Linked DNA regions of Danio rerio. The protein of the gene in region 2 interacts with the protein of the main gene of each other region in a biochemical or structural test. Links are inferred from orthologs where the notes say so. Each region holds a gene or a part of one and is shown on either strand. Other genes may lie near its edges. The genes, in order: cdk5, maptb, s100b, ptpa, cdk1, rps6kb1a and abl1.

The links.
Region 1: of the proteins of maptb (region 2) and cdk5, one has a biochemical effect on the other in vitro, tested with the Homo sapiens proteins (10 studies listed by BioGRID and IntAct, with this or other methods). The link is inferred for Danio rerio from reciprocal best matches to the Homo sapiens genes MAPT and CDK5.
Region 3: the proteins of maptb (region 2) and s100b form a complex in vitro, tested with the Homo sapiens proteins (2 studies listed by BioGRID). The link is inferred for Danio rerio from reciprocal best matches to the Homo sapiens genes MAPT and S100B.
Region 4: of the proteins of maptb (region 2) and ptpa, one has a biochemical effect on the other in vitro, tested with the Homo sapiens proteins (2 studies listed by BioGRID). The link is inferred for Danio rerio from reciprocal best matches to the Homo sapiens genes MAPT and PTPA.
Region 5: of the proteins of maptb (region 2) and cdk1, one has a biochemical effect on the other in vitro, tested with the Homo sapiens proteins (2 studies listed by BioGRID). The link is inferred for Danio rerio from reciprocal best matches to the Homo sapiens genes MAPT and CDK1.
Region 6: of the proteins of maptb (region 2) and rps6kb1a, one has a biochemical effect on the other in vitro, tested with the Homo sapiens proteins (2 studies listed by BioGRID and IntAct). The link is inferred for Danio rerio from reciprocal best matches to the Homo sapiens genes MAPT and RPS6KB1.
Region 7: of the proteins of maptb (region 2) and abl1, one has a biochemical effect on the other in vitro, tested with the Homo sapiens proteins (2 studies listed by BioGRID). The link is inferred for Danio rerio from reciprocal best matches to the Homo sapiens genes MAPT and ABL1.

Annotation. Positions count from the first base shown.
Region 1 is NC_133199.1:37,959,655-37,964,132, forward strand, and holds the start of cdk5 (cyclin-dependent kinase 5), read right to left. Parts: upstream 3,011-4,478; 5' UTR 2,872-3,010; coding exon 2,835-2,871; intron 5-2,834; coding exon 1-4. UniProt on the Homo sapiens protein: Proline-directed serine/threonine-protein kinase essential for neuronal cell cycle arrest and differentiation and may be involved in apoptotic cell death in neuronal diseases by triggering abortive cell cycle re-entry. Interacts with D1 and D3-type G1 cyclins.
Region 2 is NC_133178.1:20,914,321-20,918,182, forward strand, and holds part of maptb (uncharacterized protein maptb), read right to left. Parts: intron 3,604-3,862; coding exon 3,580-3,603; intron 2,640-3,579; coding exon 1,431-2,639; intron 1-1,430. UniProt on the Homo sapiens protein: Promotes microtubule assembly and stability, and might be involved in the establishment and maintenance of neuronal polarity.
Region 3 is NC_133197.1:13,547,792-13,552,383, forward strand, and holds the start of s100b (protein S100-B), read right to left. Parts: upstream 2,940-4,592; 5' UTR 2,908-2,939; intron 2,635-2,907; 5' UTR 2,604-2,634; coding exon 2,466-2,603; intron 1-2,465. UniProt on the Homo sapiens protein: Small zinc- and- and calcium-binding protein that is highly expressed in astrocytes and constitutes one of the most abundant soluble proteins in brain.
Region 4 is NC_133180.1:33,431,519-33,436,076, forward strand, and holds the start of ptpa (serine/threonine-protein phosphatase 2A activator), read right to left. Parts: upstream 2,903-4,558; 5' UTR 2,844-2,902; coding exon 2,819-2,843; intron 1,066-2,818; coding exon 956-1,065; intron 1-955. UniProt on the Homo sapiens protein: PPIases accelerate the folding of proteins. It catalyzes the cis-trans isomerization of proline imidic peptide bonds in oligopeptides. Acts as a regulatory subunit for serine/threonine-protein phosphatase 2A (PP2A).
Region 5 is NC_133192.1:22,204,343-22,208,021, forward strand, and holds the end of cdk1 (cyclin-dependent kinase 1), read left to right. Parts: intron 1-141; coding exon 142-305; intron 306-2,154; coding exon 2,155-2,296; intron 2,297-2,382; coding exon 2,383-2,496; 3' UTR 2,497-2,830; downstream 2,831-3,679. UniProt on the Homo sapiens protein: Plays a key role in the control of the eukaryotic cell cycle by modulating the centrosome cycle as well as mitotic onset; promotes G2-M transition via association with multiple interphase cyclins.
Region 6 is NC_133185.1:33,095,823-33,099,684, forward strand, and holds part of rps6kb1a (ribosomal protein S6 kinase beta-1), read right to left. Parts: intron 2,371-3,862; coding exon 2,263-2,370; intron 2,175-2,262; coding exon 2,112-2,174; intron 2,011-2,111; coding exon 1,933-2,010; intron 1,825-1,932; coding exon 1,717-1,824; intron 1-1,716. UniProt on the Homo sapiens protein: Serine/threonine-protein kinase that acts downstream of mTOR signaling in response to growth factors and nutrients to promote cell proliferation, cell growth and cell cycle progression.
Region 7 is NC_133180.1:78,511,962-78,516,387, reverse strand, and holds the start of abl1 (tyrosine-protein kinase ABL1), read right to left. Parts: upstream 2,951-4,426; 5' UTR 2,157-2,950; coding exon 2,021-2,156; intron 1-2,020. Other genes in the region: exosc2 (exosome complex component RRP4), read right to left, coding at 4,408-4,426. UniProt on the Homo sapiens protein: Non-receptor tyrosine-protein kinase that plays a role in many key processes linked to cell growth and survival such as cytoskeleton remodeling in response to extracellular stimuli, cell motility and adhesion, receptor endocytosis, autophagy, DNA damage response and apoptosis.

The DNA.
Region 1 (4,478 bases), on a different chromosome or scaffold from region 2:
GTACCTGAAGACAGAGTACAACAGAATAAAACAAAAAAAGTGCTTTAGTAGATAAATACTGCAAGGCTCAACAATAAGGACATGCCCGGTGGCCCAGGGCCAGCTTGAGAGACACTTGGGACAGTAGACCGGATGTCACTAACATTTAATTTGTCTGCGACTATGTAAATCATGTGCATTTTAATTTTGTGCTTTTAGGTTTTTAAACACTACCTTCTCTGTGATGTCATAAACACCATATTGCTTTCCGGTTCCTCTTATCTGATTGACCATGATATTTTGTTTCTGTAACCTGTTAAAAACCAGTACAGCGAAGAAACGGCAACATGGCGGCAACATCAAATTATAAGGCTAAAAGAAAATGTCTGTTTCTAAAGTCTTGGAAGTAGACATTTACGTGTGACGAACACGACAAAATAAAAATGAAGTGATGTTTTGCACAGTTTGCCGCCAGTTTGACAAGTCGGCCACCTTTTGTTAACATTTTCTGTACTGCTCTTTTTGTTTGCATAACACTTTTATTTACAATTTATTTTAAGTATTAAAATTGTAGATTCACAGACTTTTTTTTTGACACATTATTTAAAACGTGGCAAAAAATAGCTATTAACTTCCCTTTTTTTGGTGGGGCCAGTGAAAATTTTGCCAGGGCAAGTAAAAATCTGAACCACTGGCCCGATCGGACCTGTAGAAAAAATCTATAGCGTTGAACCCTGTACTGCCATTTCAATTTGATGTTAATTATGTAAAAAAAAAACTAAATAATGGCGGTACACGTTACCAATCACATCAAACGCCCCAAACTCTCCTGTAATTTGCACACTGATAAAAACTCATTTAAATTGAGTAGAAATTATGCTAAAGAATTATAAAAATAATTGTAACTTTCAACCTTGTGAACCACATGGTATGTTACCCCTTTCATCAAATATCAGTGCAGACCAATCACTGTCGTTTTATGATTGATTGGTTAGTATTATTCGATTGAATGTGACCCATATTAACTCATATAATTCTATTAGTAACTTTTTATCACACAACTCTCTACAAAATTAAAAATGTCCTTCTAATATGTATATAGATGACAAATATATGATCATAATAATCACCATATTTTACATTTATCGCAGAACAACTGTTAAATAAAAATAAAACAAATGCGTGGTTTAGGGGGATAAAGAACTGTGCAAATTATACATTGACGACCAGGAGGCTCAACTGCTTGTCAGTTGTTAGTTTGTGTAATACACGCTTCAGTAATTTATGTATGCTAATAATAATAATGTTAATATATTATGATTTACCGGTTAGTTTTAAAGCAGAAAGTAATCTAAATATTTTTAGTAGTGCTCTTAAAAAGTGGATAAAAACAAAACAGCAGTGTTTGCACAAATAGTCTATCGTTAGTTAGTTGGATCATGTCGCCTTTGCTTTTTCCTGCAGTAATTTTATGTAAAGAAATGTAATGTTATGTATGTTTTATTATATTTCTATTTTGTCAATTTTAAGCCTCCTGTGGACAGGTGTTGAGAATTAGCAAGTTTGCTAAAACACTTAAACAAATGCATTTGGTTGTCCAGTGTAATTGTGATGTCCATGTCAAATACATAAATAAAAAATATTTTTAATTACATCTAGCTTATTGATAAAATGCATTTAAGCTTTCAGCGTTTTGAGGGATATTTAGTGTATTCTGATCGACAGTATTCTCTGATTAGCTGTTTCAGATGTTACTGAAGGTTAAACTACAAACAATGCATCGAATTTGATTTTATTTTCAGGCTAAATATAGATACAACATCTTTTTTATGAGAAAACAAAGTGTGGTGAACATGATGTCTATTGGTGCTCTAGATCTGCCGCTTTAAGACTTTCTTCTTAAATAGATGCAATTGATTGGCGCAATTATGCATTAACAATGGTTTGAACCATTATAGGGGTGGTCAAATCTATATTTATATTATCTATTATTTTAATTATTAACATTATTATTTAAAATACAGATTAGAGTGAAATATTTCTCAGTGTTAAAGAACTGATCCCCCTATACATCTTGTTTTGACCTTCTTCAGTGGTCAATTAGGGGGGTCTATCTCCCCAAACTTCCCTGTGATTCGCAACCTGATAAAAACTGTCATTTAAATTGTGTAGAAATTATTATAAAGAATTATTAAAATAATTGTAACTTTTAACCTTTTGAACCACGTGGTATATATTACCCTTCTCATCAAATATCAGTGCAGACCAATCACTGTCGTATATGATTGAATGGTTGGTTTTATTTAATTGAAATATTTGACCCATATTTATTCATATATTTCTATTGGTAACTTTTCATTACAGGACTCTTCACAAAAAAAATCTAAATATTGTTTTATGATGTAAATACAACTCAAAAGGAGAAAAGCCTATTTTAAGCCCTCGCGCGCCCCCTAGAGGAAAACACACTTTACGTTTCATCATGGCTACCAGCATTTGCTGGATCAAAGAAAACCCTGTTAATGTTGCTAAAATGAAATATCAATCAACGGGATAACAAATCATCACTTTACCAGCTCTATTTCTCTCAATAACAGCGATAATGTCATTTAGCAGGTGTGAAAGGTGTGCTGATTTATCCGATTCAAAGCCAGCTGCATCAAAATGAGCTCGATCTCCACAGATTAAGACTTTTAGGCTTCAGTACACAAGCACATAAAGGCACAAATGCTTTGCAGATTGACAGACGGTTGACGTCTTATGACAACAAACCTTCGTTATTGTTAGTGGTGTATAAATAAATCTCCAATTTATCGTTAGCTTCAGACATTCAGGCCAGACAGTGCTTTACTCACCCTCTCCTATCTTCTCCAGCTTCTCATACTTTTGCATGGTTTCAGCCAGTTATTAAAACGTCCTGGCTGCTCGTTTTTTCTACGAATTAATAAGCAGGGGTTTAATTGTACCGCTGATTAATGTCGTTTTTTATCAACAAGGGGCGTAGTACGCAACATGAAGAGAGCAGAGCTACAAGATGGCGACCCGCTGAGACGCGCTTCAAAATAAAAGTACCAGATCGGGTTTAGCTGCAGCCAATCATAAACTTCCGGTGAAAGCTTTATATGACTATTTTTAATGCCATACGGTTCCTTTTACAGCATATATGTTGCAATGTCATTAAAATACATTCAGTTAAATAGACTTAAGCTTTCATTTAGTTGTTCAAGTGTAAAACAAGATAAGACTATATAACCGCTAGCACAATCAGGATTAGCAGGTGAGCGCTGAAACTCAATTGAAAAATACTGAGGTAAAATAAACAGTTTTATTTAAAAGACATGGCAGAGGAAAATTGAATTGATTCAGTGCTTCTTGTCTGGTCTGAGACCCACTTTTTATCTCAACCAGGCAGTAAAAAAAAAAAGATTTTTAAAGAAATCAGATAAAAAACGTGGCGATAGTTATAATGGAAAGACAGCTCACTGGAAGCCCTGGGGCTGGCTGGCTGGAAATAAAAGTCTGTGTGCAAATACTTCTGGTCGAAGTATTAACTCCTTTAAAATGTTCTTTTTACTTTCCGATAACACCCAAATTAATTTTTATCTTTTATCATGATGTTATTTTCATAATCATGTCTCTTAAAACAAATGTTACAATAAAGTGTCAACATTTTTGACATTTACTAGCGCGTTTACAACACTGTGTCGCATAAGATCTAACATTGTTAAAATGGTGGTATTCTGTTGTCTAAAAATGTATAATATTTCGAAAAACTAGACAAAAAAATTTAGGAAGAAATGTCAATTAGTAAAAGAATATATGCTAATAAAACGTATCTAACCTATGCTCTTACTCAATGCTACAATAAATTAAATAAGTAAATACTTCAGTATTAAAATATTTAAATCTAAACCTCTAAATAACAAAAAAAAAAGAGAAATGTTAATTAGTAAAAATCGATGCTAAAGCTGATCAAATCTATGCTCTTCTTTATTGTTAATTTAATTTAAATAATTAAACACGTTAGTATAACAATATCAACAGTAATTAAAAAAAGCATTCTAAATAAAATATTTAATATCTCTAATTACTTGTGTGTAATTTAAAAATGGAAATGGTAACCAATGTGAATGCAGAAGAATATATTTAATTTTATTATACCTTAATTTTCAAGGAAAACAAGATTATCAACACAATGATATTAACAGATACATTTTTCAAAATAAAATGTACATTTCATCTCACTAAAATCTTTTCATTTAAAAAAGAAAAGGTTCAAATACTTTCAGTCTGGAGTTTAGGGAAATAAAAACACTATTTAAAAACTGTTTACCAACACTGATTTTACAATGATGATAAAACTAAACACACAGAACTTTCTTTTAAAAAAAATTCAATATGCTACAATATGACAGAGCACCAAATGAATTTCTGTGTTCAAAATAACTTGTAGTGACATATACTAAGTACAGTATTTTATTTATGTCCATTAGATCGTT
Region 2 (3,862 bases):
AATTCTGCATGAATTGATCAATCCAGTAAAGTGATGACAGAAATTTTGAATCTCTGATGAACTTCTGAACTTGTTTCTTAAAAGGCTTTTTGGCATCGTTTGATTTGCAGAGTACCTTGTTTTATTATTACAGAGAGTAAAGCGAATGAAGAGTATTTTAACCTTGTACAGGGACAAACAGTCACTTTTTCTTGTATTGAATTAAAAACCAGTGCTTGCAAGGCAGCAAAAGAGTAGTGTTAGAGTTTTTAGCTTAATCTTCAACTTTAATAAAATGTGCCATCAGAGCTGTTATTGTTATCGTCATGAATACACTTTTTTGGCTTCCAACACCAAGAAACTACACCAAAGTTGGCACTTTCTTAGCAAATGCAGTGGTTAATGCAATATTTATAAGTAAGAGACGACATTTAAATTTTTTATATAGGAATTATGCAAGACCAACTGCATTTCAATATGCAAAATCATTTGAGACAGAACACTTACTGCAATTTGGTATCAATTTGTGTTTGGACAACATAAAGGAATTAAGTTAAATCAACATAAAACAATTAAGTTGTCCTAATGAAATCTCAAGAAGTGGGTTGTTTCCGCTCATTTTAAATAAGTAGTTTGAACAAGCAGCAATTTTTTTGAGCATGTCATCATCAGTGTCAGATTTGAATGTTTGAAAATATAAAAGATGAAGTAAAATGCATATTTTCTTTGTTTGTTATTTGGTTTGTTTGTTAATATTGAAAATTGACATTTGTGCAATGATTCAGAAATAGTGTATCAATTGTGGTGCCTTGCAAACTTGGCTTGCTAAATTGCCTAGTGATGGCCTGCAGTAATGAATACATCACAATATTAGGTGATTTTGTCTGATACTTTATAAGAGAGGTCTGCACAACTGCAGGGGACGTTTAGAGTACGTTTGTCTTGAACCCTACAGCAAATGCTGACCTTCTCCTTTCAAAACGTGTTCTAGACAAACCCCATAAGCTTGGGTCTTTGAGTCCATTTGAATGTTTCAAAAAATGGACACATCTGGAATAAGGGTATACCCACAAAAGAATTGCACAGTTTTGTGAGTGATACATTCAACATTCATGCACAGGTGACATGCAATACAAAGGGGCAGGTGAAGACTGTGCCAGCAATAACGCACAATGCAGAAAGTTAGTCACAGACAAAAGCAGAATAACACTGACCACACACAGAAAGGGAAGGAGAAAAGACAGACACACAGGGCACAGAGGATCAAAAGAGAGAGAGAGATTTTGTGGCTACAAGCAGCCCGTTTCTTCAACCGAACACGTTCTCATTTGAGTGTGCGCTTTTCAGAAAGGGTGCTGCGAAGTTCTACTGATCTACTTTAAAAGAAGAAAAGGGAAGAGGAAATTAAAAGATCTGTGTGGGGTTTGGAAGGACAGAAGAGAAAAACAGACCTTTGGATGGGACACTTGCTTTTCTGGCCGGAGCAGCATCTTTAGAGGGAGTTTTCTGAAGGCTAGGAGCAGTTTTGGGGGAAGGAGTGGCAGAAACTGTAGCTACGGGTTTTTTCGTTTTTTTGGCTGGAGCTTCTTTGACAAGAGCTGCTTTGCTTGGTGGTTTTGTTGGCGGGACTTCGGCACTGGGCTTAACAGCATCTTTAGCTTTAGTGACAACAGGTTCTAGTATGGCAACAGGTTCTGGTATGGCAGCATTTTCTGGTATGACAACAGGTTCTGGTGTGGCAACAGATTTAACCTTTTCAGTTTCTACTTCGTCATCATCACTCGTCTCCAGGTATTTCTCCTGACTGACCTCCTTTGTTTTATTAGAATCTAGATGTTCCTCTGCCTTAAGCTCCATCTTTGGTGTAGCAACTTCTCGGGAAAATGGAGGAACTGGGGTCTCTTCCTCTTCTTGTTCTGGTACCTCTATTTCCTCTTCTTCCTCTTGCGTATCTGTCTGAAAGTCCCTTAGAGATGATTCCTCTTGGGTCTGGTCAGCGGCAGCACTGGGTGTAAGAGGTGATCCCGGATCTGCCCTGCAGGAGTCTGGGCTCTTGCTTTCCGGTGGTGTTTTATCAGAGCTGCACTCCCAGCCCACAGGACCATGCGGATGACCAGGATCCTGAGGTTCTGTGTAGTCGAACGACAGGCCGCGTTTCTTAGCTTCTTCTGGGGTCATGGGAAGGTGAATAGGGGTTTCATGTTCATCCTCTTTCTGGGTTGTCAAGTCTGGGGTGATAGAACTGCTCACTAAGGAAACTCCCGTTTGTTCCTCTTCTTCATCACTGACTTCACTCACTTCTTTGTCCTCATTTTCATTCTCTTTCAAGTTGATAGTGCTTCTAGGATCTGCTCCAAATCCAGGTGAACCAGAAAATCTTCTTTCAGATTTCTCCATTTCATGTTCCTCCTCTTCAGATCCACTGGGACTATGATGGTCGGACATCTTATCCGAAGGACTTCTCTTCATCTGGCTGTCAAAGCCTGTGATCCCTGAGCTCAGGCCATCAGCAAGGGTTACCGGGAGTGGATGTGGCGACACTGGAGACTCCCGTGGGCTCACAGAGCTCTCCCTTTCCCCATTCTCCCGCTCTCCCTCCCCATCCACTGATGCCGCACTGCTCCGGCCACTCTTTGGCGGACTTCCGGGTGTTAAGGCTTCTGATGACGTGGAAGGCAGAATTATAGGAACAGCCACAGACAACACTGCAGAATTAGCAACACTCAACCACCCTCTCTCAACAGTCAACATTAGAAGCAGAGAAAGAAAAGGAATCAAGGAACTTAAAGGAACTAAAAGCACAGAACCACATAAGGAGCTTGAACACAACACAGAACACAAGTCTGTTTTCATGGCAGTTAAACAATCCAAAAATCTGTTGTACACACTAAACTTTGAGTTAAAAGCACTTTTATGTATGCAATGCTTGCTAATCTGTATTACCAAGCAAAACTGTTTGTAAAAACAGGCAACTAAAGGGGCAAAATGAGAGATCGGAACAGTAGGGTCAAGGGGCTATGAGATCAGTGCTTATAAAAGTGCCTTTTCACTCATTCATTCACAACAACAACAATAAAACAATATATACTGGCCAATCAGACCACAATGGACCATAACATCTCTGTGAGCTTCAGTGTGTAAAGCACTTATAACTGATAGCAAAATGACCAGCAAAGCAATGATTTGGTGCACTATCCACTTGCAAATATCATTTGATGCACAGATAGACCTTTTGGATCTGATCTGAGCAGTAAAATGCATGTTTTGCATTGTGCTGTGAATGCATTTGAAGCACTTTTAATGCATTTAATAATAACTACTTGAAAGCCTCATTATTCTGAAACATTTAGTTTCTCAGATACAGTGATGCAATATAGAGCCAGTATAAACGCATTTAATTGGAACAAATATAAAGTGATCCCCTTTGAGATCTCATGTTTGAGTTTTTATTTTATTTTTATTTTTATTTTTATTTTTTGCATGTTTGCGCAAGCAGTGAATGATTTGTGGTGGTTTATGGGGCCAATGCATATTTGTCTACATGTAGATCCTGTGAACTTTTAGGCTGCAGGTGGATTAAGGGGTGGTGGTCCACCATACCTTCTCCAGCTCCTGCTGTCCTTCCTGACACGTCAAAGTTGTGTGATCACATGGAAGCAAGTTAAGAGAACATATAGGATACAGAGGACATAAACAACAATGCTGAGAATTCATTGCCCAGTTCAGTAGGTTGATCTTAGTACACCTTGGTAAATACTGTGATTTAAACATGCTCAATGTATAGGAGCAGCTGACAGATGCGGTATATTAACCTATAAATCACAGTAAACAAAGATTCATTAGTTTAAAAAAAAAATGTTAAGCGTATATGAAATTTAGGGGA
Region 3 (4,592 bases), on a different chromosome or scaffold from region 2:
TTATCCTGTCTATTGCTTTTTACAGCTTATATTTTTATTACATGCTTGCGATATACTGTAAGGTGTCCTTGAGTGCTTTGAGAGGTGCCTATAAATAAAAGGTATTATTATTATTATTATTATTAATTCTAAAATAAAGCTTTGATTGAAAATTTTTAGGAAGATGTGTGTGAAAAAAAATACTTTATTAAAAGTCAGATATACATGTGTGTGCTATGCAGCTCCTAGATCCATGTTTCATTCGTCCACACTCAATTTCACTCTTATATATATTTTTTTTATTTATTTTAAAATACTTTGACTTTCTGACATTTGTTCACCTTGTGTATTTATCATGTGAAGAAACCCTCAATGTTCATTAAGCATGATCAGACCAGATTTGTGTACATTGGAAACAGTCACAAACACAACAAATGTTTGTAGACACTTGCAATTGACACAATTTCAGCATAATTACAAACCAATTCACATAATTTCAAACCAACTGACAAACAACTTGGCATAATTACAAACAAGGCGCTGCTAATTTTTCAAAACTAAGTATAGTTTGGGAAAAAGAAAGGTTTTAGTAAAAAAAAGTAATGTTTTATCAGTTCGCCCACACTTTACTTCATGAGTTTATTATTGTATATTTTATTATTGTATGTTCATTTTAAAATTCTTAAAGTTTGGCTTTCTGTTTTTTTATGAGAGAAAACATTCATTGTAAGGTCTCATTTATTACCCACAAATACACTAAATTTAAGTACCATGGAAAGATTCACAAACACAATAAATCTGTGTAGATATTAGGCATGGGGCGGTATAAGTTTCTGACAGGATAAAAATACCAGGGTTTTACAGTATCACAGTATTGTGATAACTGCTCTAAAATAAGTTAATTTTAAATGTTTGGGTAAAACTAAAAATCTGAACACAGTATATTTTATTTTAGGAAACATTTATAATATTTTGGAAAAGCAAAAGTCAGGCTAAATAGTTCAAATAAATCATTGACTTCTGCAGTCTTCAATTTTAAAAAACACAGAAAAAATACACTAAACAACCCTGACATATACCTTAGGAACGGTATAACAGAAAATCTTAGCGGTTTTAAAACCTTGACTTTTTCAAACCAAGGCAAACCAGTTATTGTCCTATGCCTAGTAGAAATCATTTTTTCACAACTGACACAATGCTGGGATAAAGCTGTGATAACTAATCAAGCATTCCTAATATTTCAAGACAGTGTAGTGTGAAAAAACAAAAACGTTGACCTCAATACAAGTCTGAAACTACGCAGACACTCGATTAATTTAGTGCTTCCGAAATTTGCCAAAACATTCCTTGAATATTCTTTGTACAGTACTTCATCTTGTTTCGCTTTCATAATTTGTCTACCTTGTACAGAAACATTAATTGTAGGTCATTTTTCAATAAAGGAATATTTCACCCACAAATTAAGGGTTAGAGTTTCTTTCCTCTATTAAACACAAAAGTATTTTGAAGAAAACTGTAAAGTCGTAACCATTGATTTCCATAGTAGGAAAAGCAAATTCTGTGGAAGTCAATGGTTACAGGTTTTCAGCATTCTTCACGATGTCTTCTTTTGTGTTCATCAGAATAAAGAGTCTCATAAAAGGTCTGGAACAACTTGAGGGTGAGTAAATAGAGAGTAAATTATTTTTTGGGGGGGTGAAATATCCCTTTAAGTATAGATGTGTGTACTTTTTTCTGTTGTAAACTGTCAATATGTAATATTTTGACACCCATTTTTCTTCTATTTACACAATTTTTAAAAAGTGTACAGTGAAAAATATCTTTACCTTAATAAAAGTTGAAAAATCAAGCATGAGTGGATATTCAAAGGGACACATCACCCAAAAATGTCAATTTAACTCGCGTGGTTCTAAACTTTTATGAGTTTTTGTCTTCTGTTGAACACTATAAGTTAGTTTGAAGAGTAGTTTGGCAAATTAAAGAATAGTTTGACAACTTAAAAAATAGTTTGACAGCTTGAAGAATAGTTTGACAGCTTGACAGTAGTCTGAAACTTAAAGATAATTTGAAAAATGTTGGAATATTGCCATTAACATCGATAGTAGGAACAAAACATACTATGAAAGTCAATAGCATTTTTCTCCCAACATTCTTCGGTATATCTTTTTATATATATAAAAAAAATAAAAAACACAACCATTAAATCTACATAACTTGAACATTATCAGTTCATTATTGTCATTACGTGATTTTCTTTCCATAAATTTTACAATTTGACACCAGTAATTTGTTACCTTCTGGTCGACTTTGTAAAGAAACATTAATTCCAGAGTTGTTCATTAGGCATGATCATAATAAATTAGTATAAATTTTACACTTTTTAACACAATAACTAGCAAACAAAGATTTTTTTACACAGTTCTGACAATCACTTTATTATAAAACACATATTCCCAAGTTTTCGAATCAAAAACAAAAAAAATTACCTCAGTGAGAGTTGGAAACTCATGCGTGAGCAGCTCCTTGAGTTCACTCTTTTTTAATTTGTACTTGTCTCCTTCTTTCGACGAGTATTTGTGGAAGACTTCAATGATGGTTCCCAGGCAGTTCTCTAAGTCTGACATCTTAATGTGCTGCAGCGACGCTCAACGTTTCCTGGAATAATTACTAAAAATGTGAAAAATGCTTGATAGCAATTTCAAGCTGTTTAACTTTTTCCCTCAAATGTCTGCAAACAAGTTTAAGTGTCGGAGCAATTTTATAGACCATTAAGTTTCGTTCTGTCTTTCACTTTTGCAAACACATTTCTAGTCATTATGTAGTTTTTTTTTTTTTTTTTTTTGCAATTTCATCCTCAGTTTGGAAAAGCTTGGAGCAAAATAAGCTTTAAAAACATTGGAATGATAAATAAAAACGTACTAGACTTACCAGCAGAGAGTTTGTCAGAAAGAGGCGATTCTGCAGAGGGAGATGAGAGTCCATTTATAGGTCTGAAAAGGAGGAGCTTGGAGATTTGAGATTCTGTGCTGTCAATCACTGGATCTGACCAATCAGCTTCTTAACTTGTTCTCACTCCACTAGACACACATTTAAAGTCCAGAACAAAGGGGTGAATATATTCACACACACACACACACTCATAGTGTTACACTTGCGACTTCTGCTATAACATGCATAAACTTTTACTGTAATAATTAATTAGTTTTATGCCATTTTAGCTTAATATTAGAATTTATATTAAGTGTATTTATTGTTTTATCAGTATTTTATTGTCCTTTCATGATTTTCATTTCAAAGTAATCATTTAAAGTAGCCAATTCTGTGCACAAAGGCTGCATTTATTTGATGGAAAACACAGTAATAATTGTGAAATAATATTACAATTAAAAAAAAACTGTTTCCTTATTGATTGTAGTTGTAAATTAGATTTATTCCTGTGATTCAAAGCTGACTTTCCATCATCATTACTTGTCTTTAGTGTCACATGATCCTTTGGAAATATGATATAATATGATGATTTGCTGTTCTGTTATGATCAGCTATTGGTACACAATCACTAATAAGGATTTCGTACAATTATTAGTGATGAATTTTCTTGTCTTCATGTATTGTAGAAAATGTGATATATTTTACATATGGGGATACTTCGATAAAAAAATAAAGTTCTAAATAATAATTCTTAGCACACATAAAATGTTAACAAATCTTACTGTTTCCAAACAGGTTTATTCCAACACAATCTCATGGCAATTCATAACTTTTTGATTTTTGAATCTAATTTGTACAATTTCATATGATTTGCTCATCGCACAATGAAGGTTGGGTTTAGGGGTTGGGTGCCACGCCTCCTTTTTAAAATCACACAATTTCGTATTACTGAACTCGTACGAATCCGTTTGAATTAGCCACTAAACTCACAAAACCTAAAATACTTACGTTTTCTCGTGAGATCAGGCTGTTTATTCTTTTATTTAATGTTTTATTCAGTCCTTTCAGTCTGTTCTCAATACATAAATTTTTTTTCAGGCCATAAGCAAGCTATACGAGTTTATATGCAAAAACAGAACTCAGTTTTTATTCATTTTTTTGTTGCAAAGGTTTTTGCAAATGGATTCTTCAAATGTTTAGTTGTTTTCCTTTTCTATTTTAACAATTTAATTCTTTAATAGTAAAAAGCTTTGTTTTATGATTAATGTGTTTAGCAGCTTGTTGTTTTTCAGTTTTATAAATATCGTATTAAGTGTTCTTATTGTTTGAACAACCCTTTTTTGATGATTCATTGTCCTTTAATTGTGTTTTCCAAATAAAATCATTTTATCTAAACATAAAGTTTGTCTTGTCCTCTCACTTTAGGTTATAAGTAAATATAAAGAGTTAATTTGCCAAAAAAAAAAAAAACAGATACCTCTGTTTTTATTAATTTTCAAAAATCATCTTTTATATTTATGAAAAATACTTTTCTATTTTTGCTAATGAACTTTTTATATTTTAATGTACTCTTCATAAACTCTTCATATACTTTTATATATTTTTCCCTTTCTATTCTGATATGCAAAACATAACTTTTTGTAGAGTCGAAAAATGTGTTTCTGTATAATAAGTTCAATTTAATG
Region 4 (4,558 bases), on a different chromosome or scaffold from region 2:
GGGGGAGCTATGTTTTAGCACATAAACATGCATTTTAAACTACAATTTGTAAATCTTAATGCAATATCCACATGTGTTTTGAACCATGTTAGTACCAAACAATTCAATATTATACAGCACATTGCAGCATTCCTAGTTTAAATACAATCCTATCTGATCATAGTTGCTGGCCGCCTCCATCCCTATATGACCACTGTGTCCATCTAATGATGGCTACTTCTAGCAATATAGTGTGTCACAAAGCCTAAATCACCTCAAACTGGTTTCTTAAACATCACTGTGAGTTCAATAAACTTAAACTTCCTCCACAGTCATCAGATCTCAATCCAATCGAGCACCTTTTGGATGTGCTGGAAGAGGAAACTCACATCCCAGATGTGCAGCCAACAAATCTAATTGATAAGCCTTCATATCAATATGGATAAAAATGTAAGAGGCACGTTTCCATTAACCTAGTTGAAAATGGGTGTCCAATCTGGTTCTAGCAATGTGTACATGACATATTAAATGGGGATTGTGAATGTTAAAAGCACTATTTTAAAACCCTCAAGATTGATGGTAGGTTAGAAACTTTTGGGTTGAACTTATTTGGTTGCATGATTTCAACAGGCTTACCCATGCAAGTCAACAACGCAAGTCTGGAATAGGAATAAGCCATTCTTTTTAGGTCATGGATTTTCATTTCTGCATTTTAAACATGCCAAGTATAAAAAAATAAAAACAACAGAAGTGACTTATAGAGAGCTTCTCTTGAATTGTATCCTTCAGAACTGCCTCTTTAAAACATAATGGTGTGGCTGCTGCAACCAGCTGCAGAAAAGTGTGTCAAACAATAGAGCTTCCTATTATTATCCTTAAACTCCAGGGAAACCAGAGAAAGAGCTTGAAAATGGGCTATTTTCCCATCTCTCAAGGCAGCAGATAAACTAACTTCAGAGTTGGTTGAACAACATACCTGTGATCTTTTCCATTTGCCCATATCAGGCACCATGCTGATCTCCTTCTTTGGCACCATGAAGTTGAAACCGACAGAACTGGGAGGTTTGTCATCCTCATGGGAGGAGCCTGTGAGAAACAAAAATATCAAGAGCACATCCAGTTTTTTTTATTCAAACCAAAAATATTAATTCTATACATCCTGTATCATAGATGTATAATACTAATATATATATATATATATATATATATAAAAGTAGTTAACTTGATAATTTTCATATTAGAATCATAATAATCATAATTTGAATGATCAAAATATTAGGTTACAGAGTGCTGGTCAAAATGATAAGAACACTTGCCATATTTAAGAGGTTTCCGTTGTTTTTGTCAAACTGGCCACTGCAATATCCATATTATAAAAGAAATATATAAGTCATCATTATGCTCTATAAACCATAGAAAAGAGCCATGATTAAACATGGGTTTCAATGTATTTTGCAGTTTGGAAAAGTCAAGGTTTTAAATTTGCAAAAACTTTCTGTTAAATAGTTTCTATGGTTTATGACAGCTCTTTTTTTTCGTGTTTTTGTTTTTGCTTTATTTTTTGGACAACAGAAAAAAAAGATATCCAAGGATGTCTTATTCAAGTTGTAAAGACGTCTGTGCTTTTGAAACTAAAGAAGATGAGTCACTGACTCATTTAAATTCTTTAGTAGGACATGTGTACTCTTGCAAAATATTTTAAATGATTCTCAAAACATAATTTGTGTTCGAAACCCCCTAACCCAGACGTTTAAAAATAACTTGTTTTAGAGCAGTGATCACAATACCATGATACCATGAAACTGTGATATTTTCATCCAAGTTTATCATACCGTCAGAATCTTATACCAGCCCATGCCTAGCCATGATAAGGTGATTTAGGTCATTTTCATCACAAGAAGAGAGGGAGAGAGAATTTTGAGTTTATTGACAATTCAGCTTCTTTGGCTATGTCAGATCAAGTTTTTATCACAAAAAAAAAAACAAGATAAGTCTATTTCATTGTCAATGTCACACAATTATGTTCTTTGACAATTGAAAGGAAAGTGTTCATGAAAGATTCAACACTTCATTACAATTTCTCAGGAAATGTTTTTACCCTATGTCAGAGAGATGTGCTGCTGTAATTGATTTTTTTGTCATTAGGGACAAGAGCTTTTTAGCCTCGATGTTAAAAATAGTACACAGGAAGCGTAAGCATTAGCAACTCGTTTACTAAACTAAAATGTCAATCAATTTACGTTACACATTGGTCGTTTTATGGGTTTTAACTGGTAACTTAATGGCAAAACACCGTGTCACTAGACTGGCATACAAATAAATATCCAATTAAATGTCTAGGCTGCAAGTTCTGTAGTGTGACCTAATTGGCAATGCAAACAAACTGTTCTCTCATTAATGTTACACTATCAGAGACAAAGGTTATGAATACACAGAAGCTAACAACGTAAATTAGTAAGTTACAGCCTACTTTTTAAAACTGAGAAACCTTGATGCTTTTCTTTATTACCATATGGGTTAACCAAGTATAATACTCGATCAGTAAAGGATTAAATGTGGCTAAAATATATATTACACAACCTTAAAACTAAAATTGATAATAACTGTTCACATTTAAGTCGTAATAACCTAAATATTCGCCATCGAGCAGAAGTGACAGACTCTCATCGATTCATTACATGAGGCGCGGCGAACCATAGTAAAGCGCTTTTCTGCACAAGTAAAGTCCCTTTCGTCCCTTCAAGTGCTGCACATCGACATTTATAATCTCCACATATCACTGCGGTCTCTGCGTTTGAATTAGCTCTGTTTAATTGAAGATTTGATTGATGTGAGTTACCTGACGCCTGTTCTGTCTCCGCCATGTTTACTGTGGTGATGAAAACACAACCCTTCAACTCTCACCCGCAGTTTCGCCTCAAATATATTCCTTGAACTTGATCAGCGAAAGTAAACTGCTGCGAGAAAAAAAGTGCCTGTTTCTGAAACCCATATAATTTTATATAATACTTAATTTGTGACTTCGGTTTTAAGTTTAGGAATCGCATTAGATTTTCTAAACTGCGTATTTTTATTTATTTTTGTAAACATTTAAAAATATATATTATCTCTACAAAAACTGTAAAAGGTTATTAATATTTTTCTATTACCATGTATCTCCATGTACATTTATGTGGAAAAAAATAGCTGCTACAACGTTGCATTGTCGATTCCAAATAGATAGGGGAATTTGTAAAAATATATATAGTGTGTAACATACATACACACACACACACACACACACACACACACACACACACACACACACACATATATATATATATATATATATATATATATATATATATATATATATATATATATATATATATATATATATATATATATATATATATATATATATATATATTTAGTAGTTTTAATGGAAAATGTACGGTATTCTGGACCTTGGAATGCAGACTTTTACTTACGTTAAGTATTGTTTTGAACAGTTTACTGTGAAAATTACTTCAGAGTATCTTCTTTATGTATAGAAATAGATTCTATTTCAGATTATCAGTGAAACCTATCGATCTTTCAGTAGAAAGATGAAGCAAAAGATGAGAAGAGATGAGGCAGGTAACAGGGTTGCCAGGTTTGCATAACAAAACAATCCTTATTGCCAGTCAAATGAAGACCAAAGGTAGCCCACTGCACTCAAAATGTTCTATTTCCATCTATGACCCATTATTATGGAGTCAATCTAGGGCCATATATACTTGCAAAATAAAATAAAGTTTTGCAAAGAAAAAATAAAGTATTGAGTAAATGCAAATAAAGTATTAATAAATGCAAATTTCCAAAGCAAAGAAGAAATAAAAATAAATTTTGCAAACAAATGTAAAGAATTGCAAAAGGGAAAATTAATTTTCAGAAATAAAAATTAAATTTGCAAACAAAAAAAACTGCAAAAAAAAATCAAGCAGTGCACAAAAATTAAAATATTTGCAATTAAAAAAATATATTTTTTTGTAAAATATTTTTATAGCAATGCCTTTACAAAAACAAACTATACAAGGGAACTTGGGTGTTTATGGCAGGCCCAGACCATAGGCTAAAATATAGGGCCCAGACCTGGGCTGTAAGACCACTTTGGTAGTACACTATGGTGGTACATTGTTTCCAGGTCTGCTGTAAACGCTCAAGTTCCCTTGACTCCGCCCCTTGTCAAATCAGGGCCACAAAGTGAAACCACAGTCTATGAGTGAAACGCGCAGAAGCGTGATGTGCAAAGTGAAAACCGCTTTGCAAACTTATGGTTGACTAACAAGCAAATCAAAATGAGCATTGCAAATGACTGGACGGGTTTTGTAAAGGCAATGCTATAAAATGTTTTGCAAATATATAGAGTTGTTTTTTTAAATTGGAAATATTTTAGTGTTTTTGCACTGCTTGATTTTTATTTGCAGTTCTTTTTTGTTTGCAAATTTCATTCTTATTTCTTAAAACAATTTTTTTTCATTGCAGTTCTTTATTTTTGTTAGCAAAATACATTTTTATCTCTCCAATTTTTATTTTTGCTTTGAGACTTTTGAAAGTG
Region 5 (3,679 bases), on a different chromosome or scaffold from region 2:
GTCTATCATGATACAGCTTCAGCAGTTAATCGCAACAAGAAAATTTGATACTGGCAGAAGCCTAATACCAGTTGATGATACTTGCTCAAAATGTTATAATCACTAATGCTGACGTGTGTGCGCATGATTATGATTGTGCAGGTGGTCACTCTGTGGTACAGAGCTCCAGAAGTGCTGCTGGGGGCTTCACGCTATTCCACACCTGTAGATCTCTGGAGTATTGGCACCATCTTTGCTGAACTCGCCACCAAGAAACCTCTCTTCCATGGAGACTCCGAAATAGACCAACTCTTTAGGATCTTCAGGTAGACAAAGTTCAGGAATCAGTGTTGACATTTATTTATTTATTTATTTTTTATTTTATTTTTTTTTAACAGAGTTTTAAAAGTATAAAAGAAGTTTGAAAAGGTCAATTAGGGCTGTACTTGGTAACAAACTTATTTGCTCGTGTTAAACTGCACAGACATTAGGGTACAATATTGTATTTATAGTACAACATGTATTCTCTATGATAATATAATTGTTGTATTAGCGCACGTGTGAACATGTTTGAAAACCTTGAAATAGACATTCTCTTTTCTCTCTTACTCATGAAAACAATAATAAGTAAGGGAATATATTAGTAATTTTATAAAAGGGGAAATTATAACAGTAAGAGAAAACTTATAAAATGATAAAGTAACAATAAAGAAATGGTAACAATATTAAAAATGGTAACATTAACAAATAACCAAATAGCTAAAATTAAATCATGAACTAATGGACGATTAATGATAAAATAATCAAATAACATATCTAAATGACAGATAATTATAGATGATTTAATTAAAATATGTATAAATAAAAATAAAATTGAAAATAAAAGAAAGAAAATAAAATGCAACACTAATGTGTAGTTCCTTTCCTGAAGCAACATACACTAGTTCCAATAAACCTCCTCTGATTCTTTGTAGAACTTTTTTAGGAGGTTTTATTATTATCATTTGTAGTAGTTGTTGTTGTAGTTGTATTTTGCTAAGAGTTTTTAGAAGAAGAAAAAAAAAGTAAAATCCCAAAATGGGTCTTTTTTTTTTTTTTTTTTTTTTTTTTTTTTTTTTGTCAATGAAACTGGACCAAGCTTACATGGCATTAAAAATCAACAAATATTTATCTACATGCACATATTATTTTGATATTTGACACTAAGAACACTGATCAATAATCATTTTAACTTAATATAGTCAATATAACAATAGCAAATAACAAATAATAGCATTTTCCAGAAGTCCACTAGAAATCGATACTAACCATATGACTTTGTTTGCTCACATTGCAAGTTTTTTAGTGAACAGTTAATCTGTGCATATCATTATTTAAAAAAAATAGTTTGACCTTATCTTTAATTAAAATCTGAAAATGCACTTCGTTTTTCTTTTTTTTCTCTTCTCTTCAGTTAAATTGTCTGATTATATATATCTTAAGTATTGGGCATAGCTTTAACCACGCTGCTCCAACTGTCAGTTTTGACAACAAATGGTGAGGATGAGGTGTCTGTTAGGTAGTAATAACTCTCTTCTAAAACCCATTTCCAGATCTTTCTGTATGAAATGCTTATTTTATTACATCTACTCCGCTTGAAGCAACAATAAGTGAAGTTTCACAAACAAATTTCGAGAGGAGCACGTGATGTGATTGATCGCAGCTGGTCTCTCATCTACAATCATTAGTTAGCAAATCAGATTAATCCAAACTTACTATAAGTAGGCCAGCAAAAAAATACTTCCTTATCTTCCTTTTTTCAAAGAAACCCCCCCCCCCATCCACCCCTTCTCCCCCTTTCCTCCTTTACCACGGGGAGCTATCGAGAACCACCTGATCTCGTACTCCCCTTACATGCTCTATCGACCAGGCGGGAGCCCTGGGCTCAGTTATTGCTGAGCTCAGGGTTCTTTCCTGGGACAGCATGCCAAACCTGCTATCATTGTCAAACAATATCTAAGTGTGAACTCTTGAAAACAAAAATATGATTGCAGCTTCTGGTTCATATGGACTTACTGGCATACAAATAAAATATGGCTTTAATGTAGTTTTGTAAACTGGAATGCAAACATTTCACTAAAAATATAGTATTTTTCTTTTTTTGTCTTCCCTCTCTGTGGTTGATCTGTGTTTTAGGACTCTGGGGACCCCTAACAATGAGGTCTGGCCAGATGTTGAGTCTCTGCCAGACTATAAGAATACCTTCCCAAAGTGGAAATCTGGGAATCTGGCCAACACTGTGAAAAACCTGGACAAGAATGGCATCGACCTTCTCATGGTAAAAGACTGTCCTGATATGCTTGTGTCCTACTTGTTTCTTTGTGTTCATCTCACTCACGTATTTTCATTTTCTCCTTTGTTTAGAAAATGCTGATTTATGACCCCCCTAAGAGGATTTCGGCACGACAAGCAATGACACATCCGTATTTTGACGATTTGGATAAGAGCAGTCTTCCAGCCAGCAACCTAAAGATATAAACACAAACACATGCATACTAAAGCAAGCAATGTGAGCGTAGGGCTCACGGTGAATTCTGGGAGTTCAGAGAGCCCGGAGATGTAGATTTACTCCTCCAACCTGCAGTAATGCAATCCGAGTCTTTTGACACGCAATAATCAACCTTCAGTTTGTTTGTTTGTCAACTGGGTGGTTTTTCCTAATTTTGTTTGTTTTTTGTATGTCTTTTTCTATCCTGTTATATGTTACATAATACCCCTTGTAAATAAAGCGTGTATTTTTTGTCGACCTGAAGTGGTATATAAAAAGAATAAATTAAGGTGTTCCCAATTAAGAGCACTTTGTAGGATCCCATTTTGGGCCGATGTCTTTATCTACACTAATGCAGATATTTTTACATTGTGTTTAAAGTGGGTGTTTTTCTAGAGATGCTCAAAATTATTACAAACAATTATATATTTAAGATGTTTACATGTACATGTTATTTTGATCTTTTAAAGGCACAAAGAACACTGATCAAAAATCATTTTTAAATTGCTTCTATTTTGTTTTACTTGATAATGACAAAAACACGTAGTAATTGATAACATTTTCCAAAAGTGCCAGATAAACATACTGGCATACAAATAAAATATGTCTTTTATGAAATTTTAAAAGACGCACAAAATGCTAATTATCGTGGTTAATAGTATTATGCAATATCTGTGGTGCAGAGAAGTGTGATGAATGGATTTCTTTATGCCAAGCATTTGTGTGTTGCAAATTACCTCCAATTAAATACACAATTAAGAGTAACTCATTTTCTGATGACGTGACCCATGTTGTTTAATCTCGAGCCCTGTCACAAACACAGCTTGTTTTAAGCCAGCCTATGCTTGATGAAGTTCCAACGAAAACTCTTGTGCTGGTGATCCTAATGTGAACAGACGCTATCTATAGAGGATGAGAGAGCGCTCAGATTTCAACAAAAATATCTTTATTTGTGATCCAAATGAAGAAGTGTTGACTATTTAAATTTTTGGCTGAAATAATTTTAAATTAATTTGTGAGAAATTATAACAGTTATGTGTTGCAAAATGTACTCACCAGCACACAAAATGACTGGTTTTCTTCTGCCTATATTTTGTTAATTATTTTAGTATGCTAAATCGGCTCTTTTCCTTCTTTTTTTGGTAACCAAACACAAACTTTTCCAGAATGTCG
Region 6 (3,862 bases), on a different chromosome or scaffold from region 2:
TATGTCTTTTAGGTGATAAAACTGAAGTTCCACATATTGAGTTACGAGTTCTCCCTTTTAACTGTTGGCATAACTATAGCAGCATGTATAATACTGAGGTTTTGGAAAGACAATGCTCTTTACTTAAATTATGAATGGAATTAATGACTGAGAATGTGTCGTTAGCCCAAATGAATGGCAGTCATAAGTAGGGTTTCTACAGGTTAAATTTAAGACATTTAAAGACATTTTTAAGACCATTATGAATTAAATTTTAGACTTATCTAGCATTAGCATTAGCTAAATGCTAAGGATTTTGTCGAATGGCTCAGTTGGAAAAAAATGTTTATTTGCCCTATCAAACTTTTTTTTAATTAATTGAATAAATGCAATAATATTTGAGTTAAATCTGAGTTAAATATTTTAAATATTGTGTCAAAGCAAGCAAGCTCTATTTGTATACATACACATTATTTCAACATAACCTTTCTTAAATATATATATATATATATATTAATGTTTTGAAGGTTTAAAAAAACTATAAAAAACTATGTATGCACAACAATCTGTCCAGGTCAGCTTCCTCAGCAGTAAATAAAGGAAATGAATTCAACCATCATGGTAAATAGAGTTAAACAAAAAGTTAAAAGTTTTATTGAAATGAATTGTTGGTGAGTGGATGGGTGTTAATGGCCTTGATTGGGTAGCTATACATGGACAAAGGAAAATTAAGACCTGTTAAAAAAAGATTTAAGACCCACAACACATAATGTGAGTAGGTTTAGGATGTTTTAAGGCCTACAATTTTGTTTTTGAGATTTAAGACATTTAAAGACACACTGATAAGAAAGTTGATCTATGGGAGAATTTCATTTCTTCACCTAAACAACAAACGTGTTTACCCTGTTGTGCTCTTTAGTATCATCTTTATGCATCTCTTACTGTTTTCCTAATTATTTTTTCTAATTTTTTAACAGTTTATTTTTCTAAACTGTGAAAAAAATTGTGTGCATTTTGTATGGTACTGTATGTTATATTAAGAGGAAACCAATAAAAACTACATTTTCAAAAAAATAAAAAAATAACGTAAAGTAAAGACAATTAAATTGAGGTGAAACGGTGGCGCAGTGGACATCACTGTCACCTCACAGCAAGAAGGTTGCTGGTTCGAGCACCGGCTGGATCAGTTGGCATTTCTGCGTGGAGTTTGTATGTAGTGTGTCTCCCATGTAGTGTATGCGTGTATGCCATGCTCCTCCAGGTTGGGGGTTGACCATTGGGCTAACAACCCACTTCATAAAAACTAGATGCTACCAAACACCAACATGGTGAGGCTAAATATCAACTTCAATATAAAATGGCCCTGGGAGTAAGTAGGTTAGGACAATTAAATTGCTACAAATTATTTAAATTTCAAGTTTTCCATATTTCTTGGGAAACAAATTAGCACGTTAGAAACATTTATGAAGAATTATGTGACTCTGAAGACTGGAGAATTTATGTAGAATATTCAAATTCATCATCATGGAAATAAATCAAATTTGAAAATGTTTAGAAATAGAAAACATCACAGTTTAACTACATCTTTGATCTAACATACACATCCTACTGCTCAAATCCATTCTAGATAAATGATCTGATGATTGCACAAACATAAATGCAACTCAGCTGGAGACACGACAGAGGTATAGTGTTGACACGGAGATAAATTTAGCCTAAAAAGTACCACAGACTCACCAGGAAGACTTGGTTGTCGCTTTCACTGAGCTTCGTGTCATCAGGGCTGTCCACGGGAGTCTGACTAGTGAACTTTGAGTCAAACTGGCTAACATCATCTGCGGATTGCTGCAAAAACATATATCTGTGAGGCAATGTGATCCAACACAACATATTACAACATACACAACACATGACTATTAGCAATAAGAGAAATCTGCAGAGAGTTGATCCTACCAAAAAGGGTTTGAATGGAGGATCAATTTTGAATGCCAGCAGATCATCCCAGTTTATGTGTCTGAAGAAAGAGTGGCGCTAAAAACAAATGCTCTTTTAAAAATACAGAACACTCCATTATATATGTAAATGTCAGGTATGCATGATTAATAGATTCAAAGTATCAGAAAAGCAGATACCTGGATGTCTAGAACATCTCTAGGACTTGCTCCAATCCGTACCGATGCATTTCTCTTCAGCAACTGGATGCAAATAGCAGGCACACACACAAACTCAGTTTAATTAAGCAATAAGACTGAATATCTCGCTAAAGCTGATTGACTGATTTACCTTTTTGAGGAGGTCTCGAGCCTCTTGGGTGAGGTACGGTGGAAGGTTTAGTTTGCACTTCAGGATTTTGTCAATGGTCTTTTTCCGATTCTCCGCTGTGAACGGGGGCTGAAAGTAAAAGGGTTTAAATGTTAAGAGCATGCAGTCGGGGTAAACTTAAGTTTGTATTCCCTGTACAACTCCTTGAGATATTTAAAATATTCACAATAAAGTTTACTTTGTTTTTACCCCTTGTGTGCTGTCAGGATTGTTTTCATCTACTCTGGGCTGATTTTAACTTCTACTTTGCCCACAAGTTTCTTTGCGTTTCAGCAAATGGTACGATTTTTGACACATATTTTGGGTAAATGCTTTGAAAATGTTCAAAAAGTTAACACATTCTGGGGAAATTGACTACTCTTTCGTTATGTTAGTGGTTGTTTTTGCCCCGTTGACTTCCATTATAATGACATTATTTGATTGCAAAGCCATGACACCCTACAATCATGCATGCGTCCTTGTTGCGAAGAGACAAATTTTTTATTTTTTGCTGTTGATCATCAGTTGCAGTACAAAAAAATGTAAGTTTCTGGCTTTTATCTTGAGTATAGTGTGTGTCTGTTACTGTGAGACCTTTCCTTCCCACTTACCTTGATATGTCAGAGAGAATCTAAATAAGCACCCCTGCTCTCAGGGCAAAGTAATCATAGTAAGTATATTTATACACGCACACTATAATCTGTTGTTTTACTCCATAGAACTCTATATAACAGCAAGACTTTTTTTTGCCCAGGCCTATTTAAAGGTTTAATGCTGCCAACTGATGATCAACAGTGAAAATGACAATTTTTACCTCTTCCCAACAGGGAAAACCACCAACAATCAAAAATGCATGATTATATGGTGTCAAGACTTTGGAATAAAAAAATATCAATATAATGGAAGTCAATGGGGCATAAACAGCCACGACTTCAGCCATGACTTCTCCCATAGAAATATGTAATCCCAAAGCAAAGAAAATTCATTTTAAAATTCTTCACAAAATATACCCAGTCAATGCATTTATCTCAGAATTAACTGATATTGCAGATACTTGCTCTCTCTGTCAGGAAAGTGAGGAAACTTTCACTCACGTGTTTTTTTACATTTAAAATCTCACAAAAGTTTTGGTCAGATTTACATAATTATTTGAATAAATCACAATCAAAAAAACAAATCTTTAAAATGAAAGATATTAATTGTTATTATTCTAGTCCCAAAAATAAAAATGAAGAATATATTTATATATTTTCTTATATTTTATGCGAAATTCTTTATCCACAAACAAAAATGTCTTAAATCCTCTCCCTCATTTGCACATTTTTTTAAATTATAATTGATTAATTGCTTAAAGGTATAGGTTTATCTAACAACAATTTTGCAAGTTAATAGAAACTTATGAAAATATCATGCTTCCAGCAAGTTAGTCTTTAATGCTTTCTGTGTTTTTTCATTTAATATTGTACTTCCCCTTTCTTGATTTCATTCTCTTTTTTCTTTTCTATTTCTTATCTGTTACTTATTGCTATCACTTTGTAACTGTAGGTACTTGTATTCCAGTCTCTTACAGATTACTTCCTGG
Region 7 (4,426 bases), on a different chromosome or scaffold from region 2:
GAGAGAGAGAGAGAGAGAGTGAGAGAGAGAGAGAGAGAGAGAGAGAGAGAGAGTGAGAGAGAGAGAGAGAGAGAGAGAGAGAGAGAAATGGAGTTTACTTTCATTCTCTCAATGGCAGTGAAATGGAGCTTCTGCTGTAAGTGTCAGGGAAACTGTCCAGCAAACACACACGCAGTCAAATTTGTGCACAGTTTCTGCGTTTTTAAGTAGTTGGAGCGTAGTAAATACTCGCGCTCGCCTCCCTCGCCATAGTAAGCTACAAAACATAGTGCAAATGAGATAAATGACATCAGTATATAGTAAGCGGTTATGATTATTACTCAACCGATACCAAATTTTACATTTACATTTAGCAGACGCTTTTATTCAAAGAGACTTACAAATGAGGACAAGGAAGCAATTTACACAACTATAAGAGCAACAATGAATAAGTGCTGTAGGCAAGTTTCAGGTCTGTAAAGTATAAGAAGGAAAGCATTAGTATTTATTATTATTATTATTATTTATTTTTTAGTACAGTTAGCGTTATATCCAGAGAGGCACTTGCAGATTAGGAAGGGAAGTGAAGGCTAAATAGTTGAGTTTTTAGTGGTTTTTTGAAGACAGCGAGTGACTCTGCTGTTCTGATGCAGTTAGGGAGTTCATTCCACCAACTGGGCAAATTGAGCGTGAGAGTTCGGGAAAGTGATGTCTTCCCTCTTTGGGATGGAACCACGAGGCGACGTTCATTCACAGAACGCAAGTTTCTGGAGGGCACATACATCTGCAGAAGTGAGAGCAGATAAGAAGGAGCAAAGCCAGAAGTCGCTTTGTAAGCAAACATCAGAGCTTTGAATTTGATGCGAGCAGCAACTGGCAGCCAGTGCAAACGGATGAGCAGCGGAGTGACATGTGCTCTTTTAGCTTCATTAAAGACCACTCGTGCTGCTGCGTTCTGGAGCAGCTGAAGAGGCTTGATAGAGTTAGCTGGATCTTTCTGATGTTCTGAATTGTCTGCATTTGCTTCGTGGTGGACTGAAGAAACAATTAATTTTGAAACTCCTATCTAAAATATATTCTTTTTAAAAGTCGGGATAGAAAACTTTTTTCCTCTTTGTACACAATTTATTTCAATTTGAGAAACATTTCAAGTATTTTGGAGCAGTAAACGTGAATTATTGACTTCTGCTGTCTTCATTAGTTTCAAAAGCACTGATTTCTTTACTATTTAAAACAGTGTCTTTGGAGATCTTTACTGCTGGAGATACTGTTGTCCTAAAAAAAAATGTAAATAAAAAATCTTTAAAATATTTATCTTTTAAATTTTGACGAATTTAAAACCCTGACTTTTCAAAACCACGGTACACATTGAACACGGATATCGTCCCATGCCTAATCTGGACACAGCCAGAATGAGCGCCTCCTCTGCCATAAAGCTAAATAAGAGTTATCATGCCAACTTTCTACTATAAACTGAAGCTTGCAACACCCAAGCACTCTTCTGATTGGTCCACTGCTGTGGAACTGACTGTGCTGTGTGTGAAAGTCGAAGACCTCTCAACCAGACATGGCGTTTAAAAAAACGAGATGCTTCAAAAGATGCAACGTAGCAGTCAGACACGTACGTCAAGCGTGTGTTTACATTGAAAAACAATAGTATAGTAGTGCACTATACAGAAAGAAAATGCATTCTGTGTGAACGGCCCCTAAGCAGTGCACAAACACTCACAACCAATTTATAACCATTCAAAAAAGGCACCTCGCACCATTAAAAGTGCATTCAGTGTGATCAAGGCCTCAATGTTATTAATTGTATTATTAATTCCAAGGCTCTGCTGGTTTTCCAGAATTGTCATAGCCAATCTTAACCCAATTATAATTGCTTTGGTTCAATTTATAATTTCCACAACCACTGCAGAGCCTCGGGGATCTCAGGCTGGCTTGGCCTCCCCCTGATCCTAAATGTTCCCTACTGATCATTCGTGAGTGAACTGCCCCCTTGAGTGATGAGTGAATGTGGTGTGCTGGATCTGGCACTGACCGTGGACCGTGAACACATTGCAGTGCGGTGCTCCGTGCCGGGGCGTCTCTCTCCTCCCCGCGGCCTTGATGAAGGGCAGTGCCGGCAGGCTCGGTCTCCTCTGCTCACCCACTAACTTTCCTGGCTGCTGCCCCATAAGAACACACAGCGCAGGAGATCAGCTGGAGGAGCCTGAAAACACACACTCCCCTGTGCCAGTCATGCATGTGCCAGCCTGACCGCAGATCAGATCCCCGCCTTCTAGAGGTTAGAAGTGTTTCTAAGGCACTGTGGGATGTATGAAGGAGTCATCCTCATTCACAGAGTCAGCATTAATGCATGAACATCACTGCTGACGAGCTGTCAATCATTCTGACGTCACGTCAACATCAAACTCTCAAAGGAGAAGATATCAGCACATCAGAGGGGTCAGTGATGAACTCAGACGCTCTGGTGTGCGTGAAACTCTCAATGATCATCATTATTAGAGTTATTATGATAATTATTAGCCACTGGAAGAGTCTGGGAGTGCAGTAAACGCGTTTGGTGTGATCGTGGTGTCATTCAGTAAGCAGATGAGACCGTGTTTGTATCTCCTGATGCTCATTAAAGTCATGAATAAAGTGTGTGGATCTCACTGAAGCCCTCCAGGCTCTTCTGTGCAGATTTAACTCTTGCCTTTGGCTGTGGTGTTGAGTTCTGGTTAGTTGGTAAAGTCTCGTCACTTCCGCGTGCACTTCTCTCTCTCTGAGGCGGATTTAAACGCTCCTCTACCCGCCGCGTGTCTCCGCTGTCGGGCTCTTCTGCTCACCGGACACCCGCTCGGTTCCCCCGCAGTGTTTTAATGCTGGTTCTCGTCATGTTTTAGTAATATTTCATAACTTCCAGCACTTTTCTTCGCGTCGTTCGTCGTCGCAGGAACCGCCATGTTCGCGCACGCGAGCTGCGCCCGTGACGTCACGCGCCGCGCTCTTCCGCCAACAAGCGAAAACTTGTATTTTGTTTTGATGTGAACGCCTTGTAAGAAGTGTTTACCTATTGTTGTTGTCTCTAATATGAATAAATAATAATAAACAGTTAAAAATAAAAACGCTGCGGTTCCTGTACGCAGAAAACATATATTATACAAAACTGTAAGATTAATGCTCTCTTTAACATTCCTAATTAAAGACTTCAAACTTAAAGTGTATATGACTTATGATTCTCTAATTCAACAATATTATTAAATAATATTATATATTAATATAACATCATTCTGAATCATACTAAATTATACCTGATTGATATTTATTTCAATAATCTATTAATACAAAAATACTTCAACAAACTCCAAAATAGCTTTAATTTGATGCAACAGCGTTGAGTTTTACTGTCTTAAATATCAATAATATTTATTCTATTAGTATATATTATTATACAACTATATTAAATTCGATTGTATTTACATAGCACATTTAAAAACAACCATCATTGATTAAAGCACATCATAATGTCAGCACATAAATACATAATTATACGGTTATAATTTACAGCAATTAAATAAATCTGCTCTTTATAATAAGTGCATTACTGCTGAAGGTTGCAGAAGCGTTGCTCTATAGTTGTAGTTGTGTGATCACTGAAGCCCCCTGGTGGAATAAACACACAGAGCAGCGTCAGAAACACACTTAAGGGGTCAGTTCACACAGAAATAGAGATCTACTTTCATTTTAATTCATCTTAGTCCCTTATATATCAGAGGTCGCCATAGTGAAATGAATCACCAACTATTCCAGCATGTGTTTTACACAGCGGATGCCCTTTCAGTTGCAACCCAGGGCTGGGAAACACCCATACACACTCATTCACACACACACACTCATACACTACAGCCAGTGTAGTTGATCAGTTCCCCTATAGCGCATGTGTTTGGACTGTGGGGGAAACCGGAGCACCCGGAGGAAACCCTCACCAACACGGGGAGAACATGCAAACTCCACACAGAAACACCAACTGACCCAGCCGAGACTCAAACCAGAGACCTTCTTGCTGTGAGCACACAGTGCGACACCACTGAGCCACCGTTCCACCCTAATCCTCATTTGCTCTGCTTCTAAACACCTATGGGTTTCTTCTGTCGAATACAAAATAAGATACTCTGAAGAATGCTGCCGCTGCCTTCAATAGCAGGAATAAAGACGATGAAAGTCAATGTGTGTTTCTCCAGCACTCTTCAGGTTGAGAGAATGATCAACACACACACACACACACACACACACACACACACACACACACACACACACACACACACACACACACACACACACACACACGCACACGCACACACACGCTTTGGGTGTTATAACAAATTTATTACAAAATATGAATAATGTGGTGTGTGTTATATGCATTATATATAGAGCGGTGTTTCAGCCTTCATGCTCCATC